Callithrix jacchus: one gene and its partner. The protein of the gene in region 1 interacts with the protein of each later gene in a pairwise test. Links are inferred from orthologs where the notes say so. Each region holds a gene or a part of one and is shown on either strand. Other genes may lie near its edges.

Region 1 (4,136 bases):
GGCCTCCCAGTGTACTGAGATTACAAATGTGAACCATTTCGCCCAGCCCATTTTTATTTTATTATTATTTTTTGAGACACAGTCTTACTCCATTATCCAGGCTGCAGTGCAGTGGTATGATTTTGGCTCACTGCAGCCTCGAACTCCCTGGACTCAAGCCATCCTCCCACCTCAGCCTCCTACATAGCTGGTACTACAGGTGCACACCACCACACCTGACTAATTTCTGTGTGTGTATTTATTTTATTTTAATTTAATTTTTTGAGATGGAGTCTCACACCGTTGCCCAGGCTGGAGTGCAGTGGCATGATCTTGGTTCAGTGCAACCTCTGCCTCCCGGGCTCAAGGGGTTCTCCTGCCTCAGTCTCCTGAGTAGTTGGGATTATAGGTACGCACCACCATGCCCGGCTAATGTTTGTATTTTTAGTAGAGACGGGGTTTCACCATGTTGACCAGGGTGGTCCTGAACTCCTGACCTCGTGATCCGCCCGATCTGCCGATTACAGGCGTGGGCCACCGCGCTTGGCCTTTATTTTTTTAGTAGAGATGGGGTTTTGCCATGTTGCCCAGGCCGATCTCAAAAACTTGGCCTCAATCCACCTGCCTGGCTTCCAAAAGTGCTGGAATTGCAGGCATGAGCCACCCTACCCAGCCTAGCATTTTAAAAATGATAAACCCACTTCATAGGTTGACAATCCTGTGCAGTGGGTGCTGCTGTTACCTGCCCTGCTTTACAGATGAGGAAACCAGGTGCTTTGAGATAGAAGAGATGGCAGTGCCAGGACTCAGGGGCAGCCTGGCCCCAGGGTCTGTGGATGTGGCCACTGCCTTAACCGCTGGCAAGGATGCTGCTGACCCATCAGCCTCAGGGTTATGGGCCAAGCATGCTCCCACCGTACAATATGCTGTGAGCAGGACACACACAAGGCTTGGGGTACCCCCGAGGTTCATCAAGGGTTGGGGAGGCAGAAGCCCTTCTATTGTGCTTCGGGAGTAGGGGGGGGGAAGGAACAAGAGCCAGCCAGGGACAGCGTGGCCCTACCATCTCCCTGGAGAGACCTCAGCTCTCTGGAATTCATCTATATTTAGCAGGTGGCTGGACAAGAGGCAGATAAGCAGTGCCTGGGGAGGGGGGAGGTCTCCATATATAGTGGGAAGGACAGGACCCCACTCACTCCCTCTTAGGGTGGCCTGTGCCTGCTTGGTGCCTGGTGTGACGTCTCTCAGGATGCCTGAGCCGGGGAAGAAGCCAGGTAGCTCCGGGCCTGCGGTTGGGTCTAAGTGTGGGAGCAGGGGGTGTCTACAATTGGGGAGCAGGGCTAGGAGGGAGTTCTTGAGGGAGCTGAAGAAGACATGGCCACTGAGCCCCAGGATGGGTCAGCCAGTCCTCCTAGGTCCTTTTTTGATTCTCAGTTTCTTTCTCCCATCCCTCTGATGAGAGGTGAAGGTAAACCCAGGGTCAGGGACGCAGAGAGGGGACACAGCCAAGATAGGAAGCAGCCGGGTCAACTCAGAACTCAAAGGGACACCATCCCTGCCCCATTTCCTTCTCCTTCCACAGCAGGGATCCCCGCAGACAGAGCTCACAATTATGCGGAGCACAGCCAGGCTCACGCGGTGCCCTCAGACGAGTCTCCACCCACTCTGGGACTTAGTCTCCCAACCTGGGGACTGGGGCGGGTGTGGTGGTGGGTTGGTTCCTCCTGGTTGTGACATTATCTGCTTCATGAGCCTGTATGGTGTGGTCCCCATGTTGGGGGTGATACAGTCCCTCTTCTCTGAAAGAGGACAGTCAGGAGCCCCTGAACTCAGGCCAAGGGCAGGGAAAATCACAGCCCAGGGTCCTGGGCCTGGGCCGTGCCCTTACCAAGGTTGTCCAGGGCAGAGATCCAGGTCCCCATTCCCCAGTGCCCTCCCAGGCCAGCTTTATCTCAGTTGCTGATTCTCAGCCTGAGGTCCCTGGAGGACAAATTTGGCCACATTCCAAAAAGGCAGAGTTCCCTGCCCCCGCCAAGGGCCCCAGATGGTGGGGGAGGGGAGCTGGGCTCCTCACAGCTATCTCCAAGCTGGGAGAGTGGCATATCCAGGGGACACACACAGCACAAAAGTCTTGTGTGGAGGTCAGGACCACCGCCCTGGCTCTCCTGACTATAGGCTGTGTGATCTTGGAGGAGCCACTTAGCTTCTCTGAGCCTCAGTGTCCTCCTCTGAGAAATGACAGAGTAACTGCACCTACCTCGTAATAATACTATAGGAGTATTACACGAGGGGATGCATGGTAACTGCTTATCACAGTATTTACTAAAAGGGGCTGCAGGGGTGGGGTGCACGCCCCAGCTAGGGGCTGCTGTAGCCTCCATCTGGCCCTTCAGTCTCAGCTTTCAGCAAGAAGCCACGGTCAGTGGAAGTGGCAGCAGGTGGCCCTGCCGTGTTCGAGGCCGAGACAGAGCGGGCAGGAGTGAAGGTGCGCTGGCAGCACAGAGGCAGCGACATCAGTGCCAGTGACAAGTACATCCTGGCTGCAGAGGGCACACGACACACACTGACAGTGCGGGAGGTGGGACCTGCTGACCAAGGGGCCTACGCAGTCATTGCTGGCTCCTCCAAGGTCAAGTTCGAACTCAAGGTCATAGAAGCAGGTAAGATCCTGGTCAGCCTTCCCTGAGGTTCAGGCTTCTGGGGGGAGGGGCAGTGAGGTGCTTCTTCATCCATCCAGGGAACGGGAGGTGCTTTCACAATTTCTTGCCTTTGCTGTGGCTGTGCCCCCACACCCCCCACCAGGAACGCCCTTTCCCCTTTTCTGCACATGACCTCTCTAAGTACCCCCATATGCCACCCTGGCCTCCTAGCCATGCTGGAGGTGGGAGAGGTGAACAAGACTCAACCCCACCCTCCCCCTGCAGACCTCCCTGGGGAGATGACCAGGCACAGATGACACCTTGTGTGCCAGCAGGGAAGCCCTGCCGGAGGTGTGGGTGACAAGGCACACAGCCCAGTCTGAGGGGCTGCTCCAAGGCTGGGGCAGAGCTAGGGCAGGAATGGACCTGGAGCTGTTAGGGGCAGGTGCAGCGGATGTGGGGACTGATGGCTGGGGGCAGGGAGGAGAATGTGAGAGTCAGGCTGGCTCTCCAGCTCAGTATGCGCTGCCTCTGAGGGGCCCGGGCACTGGGGGTCAGACAGGACGGACTTTCCTCGTTCACAGCAGGCTCAGGGGTCCAATGCTCGGGAGAGAGAGTGTAGAGGGGTCTCTGGTTAGTGACTACACCACAACTCCCATCCAATCCCCTCCAGAGAAGGCAGAGGCCATGCTGGCCCCTGCCCCTTCCCCTGCTGAGGGCACTCAAGCCCCTGGAGAAGCCCCGGCCCCAGCTGCTGAGCTGGGAGGAAGTGCCCCAAGTCCTGAAGGTGAGAGGGGCAGGGAGGGGCAGAATCTGTGGGGAGGGGGTGTCTGGGGCAGGTCTCAAAAGCCTTTGCTTGACCAGGTAAGGTGGCTCAGGCTTATAATCCCAGTACTTTGGAGGCCAAGGTGGGTGGATCACTTGAGGTCAGGAGTTTGAGATCAGCCTGGCCAACATGGTGAAACCCCATCTCTACCAAAAAATTAGCTGGGCATGGTGGCACATGCCTGTAACCACAGCTCAGGAGGCTGAGGTAGGAGAATCGCTTGAACCTGGGAGGTGGAGGTTGAAGTGAGCTGAGACTGAGCCATTGCACTCCAGCTTGGGGGATAGAGTGAGATTCCGTCTCAAGAAAAAACAAAGCCTTTGCTCGCAGGGTCAAGCTCAGCAGCTCCCAGCGGCACCACCCCTGAAGCCCCCGATGACCCCATTGGACTTTTCGTGATGCGGCCACAGGATGGCGAGGTGACTGTGGGTGAGTGTGAGTTGCTGTGCCCAGCAGGGGATGGGAAGGGGGGCAGCAGGACACTCCCCAAGCCAGGCCTGTCACCCTGCCCTCGCAGGTGGCAGTATCACCTTCTCAGCCCGAGTGGCTGGGGCCAGCCTCCTGAAGCCACCCGTGGTCAAGTGGTTCAAGGGCAAGTGGGTGGACCTGAGCAGCAAGGTGGGCCAGCACCTGCAGCTGCATGACAGCTACGACCGCGCCAGCAAGGTGGGTCCACCAGGGTCATGGGGACA
Region 2 (4,202 bases), on another chromosome or scaffold:
GGAGGAAAAACACGAGCATTAAAAATCAAAGCACCAGGAAAGAACCGAGAATGCAGGGCACCCCAGGGCAAACTGGTCTGTGTCCTTCTGTCTCCGTCTTCCTTCCCCCCTCCTCATTTCAGGTCATTTTTCTTTTTCCTTCTCAGAAGTTCAAGATCTTGCAAAAAATGTTTTCCACAAAAGAGATGATATCTGTCATTTACATCAATGCTTCTCACACTTCAATGTACATACCAAGCAAATGAGGATCTTGCTGAAAAGTGGATTAGGATGGTGCCTGAGACTTTGCATTTCTAGTTCATTCCCAGGTTATGACAATACTGCTCGTTCACAGACTGCGCTTTGAGTAGCAAGGATTGGTGTATTCTTATAGTTTAAGTTGCTGCTATGTTCTCCATCAAAGTATTTGCCTTTTCAGTCCTGTCGCCACCTGGAATGAAGTTGTCTGCCCCAGTCATCTCCCCACCATTAGGCGGGCAAGCTACTTTCTGCTTTTGTTCCTTTATTCACTTTGGCAGCAGGGGATCCTTTTCTGGCTTGAAGACCAGAGTCTGAGTTTGAGCAAAACCCCCGCAGCATGGATGAGGACTACCCAATCAATAATTAGGCTGGAGTAAACCTGGTCCTTTCTCCAGCAAGACTTGGCCAAGCTCTCACAGCAACCCTTTTCTGTCTCTTCCCCGGCTAGACCTGATCCATGTGTGATTTGGAATTAGGTGGCCTTGGTTAATCTCAGTTTTCTGACCTAGATGAGCCCAGCCCCAGCTCTCTGAGTAAAGCTATCCAGGCTGCTGGGGACTAGACCAGAAGGGTGCCCTGTCCCGCTTGCCCCTTTTCCAGACACTCAGATGTGCTGTTGTGGTGTCCTTTGTGCTCATGGCAGCCCTGGAAGAGGAGAAGCCGGTGTCGCTCCCCTGCTGCCCTGGCCAGCTGTCGGGACCCCTCAGCAGAGGGCAGGGCGCCAAGCCCCCCCACTTGCATGTGGCCTATTGTCCCCAAGATTGGTGGGGCTGTGAGGACAGAATCCACAGCCCATTCAGGGAGAACACCCACCCCAGAAACAGGGAGGAGTGGGCTGGCGTCACTTAGTCTTCCCCTGCCCCCTACCCTTCACCTCCTGCCCCTCCCCAGCTCCCTATTTGGCCATCCCCCTGGCTGCCCCCTCCCCTTCCTTACATGGTCTGGGGGCCCCACTGGCTGATCCTCTCCCCTGCACTTGGCTCCAAGAATGGCCTCGGTAGTCCTAGCGAGTGCAAAGGCGACCAAATAAGGCAAGGTGGCAGACCGGGCCCCCCACCCCTGCCCCCGGCTGCTCCAACTGACCCTGTCCATCAGCGTGCTATAAAGCGGCCGTCTTGGAGCCCGCCACCCAGCGCCCGCCACCCAGCACCCGCCGCCCCGAGCCAAGCCTACCCGACCCGCCCAGCGGACGGTGAGTCAGAGCCCGGGCCCTGTGCGCTCCCTCCTGTCTCGGTCCGCAGGCCTTGCCAGACATCAGCCCCAACCCCGCGCCGCGGCATGGCCCGCCCTCGGCCGAGGCCCCGACTCCTGCCGCTCTGCAACTGCTTTTTTCCCCCTACACTTTTCGATTTGGTTCTAAATTGTTTCTCCTGGGCGTCGGTCCTCGCAGGACCCAGCAGGGGCTCTAAGAAGGGGAATTCTGTGGCTCCCTAAGGGGCGTTTGGGTCCCAACTCTCGTGCGCTCTCCCCTCCATCTGTGGCACAGGCAGGGCGGGATGGACAGGGCTGGAGGTCGAGTTCCCAGTTTGTGAAAAGGAAGAAAAAACAGCTGGGGAGGACTAAGGAACTGGGTTTCCTGGGTCCTCCTTGCACCTGGTGCCCTAGGTGAGACTCCTGGCCAGAGAGCCTGGATGGATTGCCCCCTCCCGTCTCCTCCGCGGCTTCTCTCCCTTTTATGACTTGAGGGGAAGAGAAGTGGCAGGAATCTCCCCTGCCCACGCCCCTATCCAGTCCCCGCATCCCCGCTCTGCTCTGTCCCCTTCTCTGGGTGCGGAGAAAGCCAGCTGCACAGGCAGCTGAGCTGGCCCACCCTCCCCTCCTCAACCTGCAGAACCTCCTGAAGCTGTGCCAAGATGTGTGACGACGAGGAGACCACCGCCCTGGTGTGCGACAACGGCTCTGGGCTGGTGAAGGCCGGCTTTGCGGGCGATGACGCTCCCCGCGCGGTCTTCCCATCCATCGTGGGCCGCCCGCGGCACCAGGTAAACTTCCTGCCAAGCCCCTAGTCCTACTCGATACCCCTTCCTGCCAACTCCTCTGTCCAGCCATCTAAGAAATGGCTCTCGCTTGACCCACTTGTGGTGTGAACTCTTTAGGTCAAATTAAGGAAAGGCTGATTCACTTCAAATCCAAGAGAAGGCAAGCAATACCCCATCAAACCCCAACATACTGAGAAATGTACATCTGAGTGGCAGGCCTCTCAAAGGGTCCCACTCGCTGGTGTGAACGCCACCAGCTTCTTTCCATTCATGGCCTTTTGGACTTTTAGTCCTTAGGGTCTTCTCTGCCTTATACACTTCACTGTCTTCCTTGTCTTCCCTTTTCAGCCCTGTTTAAATTTCTAACAATATAACCTCTCCCAACCAATCACATTCCTCTCTCCTGTTCACAGCCAGTTTACAGGGCTTCCCAAAGGTGAAATCTATCTCCTTCCTGGCTGTGGCATTTTTAGAAGCCAGGCGTGACAGAGGCAGCAAGTGCCATGGTGATAGTGACATGCCACCTCGTTTATTAAAAGAAATGCCATGCTCTCTGGATTTGTCACATGCCTGGTCAGGCAGGCTGCCAAGGAGGAGACCTTAGTCCTCAGAGCTGGTGAATGACTCCAGGACAGCTCTGGACAGGCTCAATTTCAGTTAAAGTGAAGATGGCATATCAGCCCATCATTATGTGTTCACTTGAATGTCAAAATCTTTTCTTAGGAGAAATACAATGTGTCATTAATTCAGTCATTCCAAAATGCAGTCATCTATATTCCCTTTGACATGGGTGATGAGCTTAATAATTTAATGAAGGCATATGATATTTTTAAGGTGAGGTAAGGCTCTGCTTCTTCAGTGAAAAAGCTTCATTCTCTCCTGAGTTATATTCTCAACAATAGAATTATACATCTTTGGGGGAGTGGTGGGAAGGTGGAAGATTGATTTTTAAATAATTCTTCTAAATTGGGATAAAATCCTATTGCTTATTATTTCTGGCATTTAAATATGTTCCTTGAATTGGTCACTTAGATATAAATGGACAAGACACTGATTATATTCCTGACATGGTGGGAGCATGATTTTCTCTTATTTTTTCTTCTCATAGGGAGTTATGGTTGGTATGGGTCAGAAGGACTCCTATGTAGGTGATGAAGCCCAGAGCAAGCGAGGCATCCTGACCCTGAAGTACCCCATCGAGCACGGTATCATCACCAACTGGGATGACATGGAGAAGATCTGGCACCACACCTTCTACAACGAGCTCCGTGTGGCTCCTGAGGAGCACCCTACCCTGCTCACAGAGGCCCCACTGAACCCCAAGGCCAACCGGGAGAAGATGACCCAGATCATGTTTGAGACCTTCAATGTCCCTGCCATGTACGTGGCCATCCAGGCAGTGCTATCCCTGTATGCTTCTGGCCGTACCACAGGTACGCTTGGGCTCTGGGGACAGTTACTGATGAATCATATTCCTAAGTCACCAACCTTGCTGTGAAATCAGATTCCCCAGATTGAAAAAAGGATAATCCCTTTCCTCCCATTTCCTAGCAAGGTCTCTGTACTAAAAGTGAGGTGGCAATAGTGCCCTGAGGTTAATTCCAGAGCACACGTATTGTTGGAGCTGATAAACTGTGGAGTTAGGTCCTTCCCTTATTTAAAGCTCAGCACAATGTAGCAACTTGGAGTGCAGCAGTCCTTGGGATGTGTTTAAACCATCATATCACCTGGGTAAGCATCCTCAAGGAGAGTACATTCCCTACAGGGCCTGAGTCAAAAGAGAGGGAAACGCATAAGTCCAGTAAAAACAGAGAAAAACACACTTGGGTGTTTACATAATGTGCTCAGGGCTGATAAGAAGGATGGTCATATGAAAGTGTCCTCAGGAAATTTTTTTCCTACTGTAATAGTTGAAAGGATGAGCTGCAGTTTGTTTCAGATTTAGTGTGCACGATGCTCATTTTTATTCTTTGTGTGTAAGGG

The links.
Region 2: the proteins of MYBPC3 (region 1) and ACTC1 interact in a two-hybrid assay, tested with the Homo sapiens proteins (2 studies listed by IntAct). The link is inferred for Callithrix jacchus from reciprocal best matches to the Homo sapiens genes MYBPC3 and ACTC1.

The regions. Positions count from the first base shown.
Region 1 is NC_133511.1:112,407,701-112,411,836, reverse strand, and holds the start of MYBPC3 (myosin-binding protein C, cardiac-type), read left to right. Parts: upstream 1-1,173; 5' UTR 1,174-1,228; coding exon 1,229-1,253; intron 1,254-2,372; coding exon 2,373-2,639; intron 2,640-3,291; coding exon 3,292-3,405; intron 3,406-3,774; coding exon 3,775-3,873; intron 3,874-3,961; coding exon 3,962-4,110; intron 4,111-4,136. UniProt on the Homo sapiens protein: Thick filament-associated protein located in the crossbridge region of vertebrate striated muscle a bands. In vitro it binds MHC, F-actin and native thin filaments, and modifies the activity of actin-activated myosin ATPase.
Region 2 is NC_133509.1:52,108,301-52,112,502, forward strand, and holds the start of ACTC1 (actin, alpha cardiac muscle 1), read left to right. Parts: upstream 1-1,371; 5' UTR 1,372-1,432; intron 1,433-2,071; 5' UTR 2,072-2,093; coding exon 2,094-2,222; intron 2,223-3,327; coding exon 3,328-3,652; intron 3,653-4,202. UniProt on the Homo sapiens protein: Actins are highly conserved proteins that are involved in various types of cell motility and are ubiquitously expressed in all eukaryotic cells.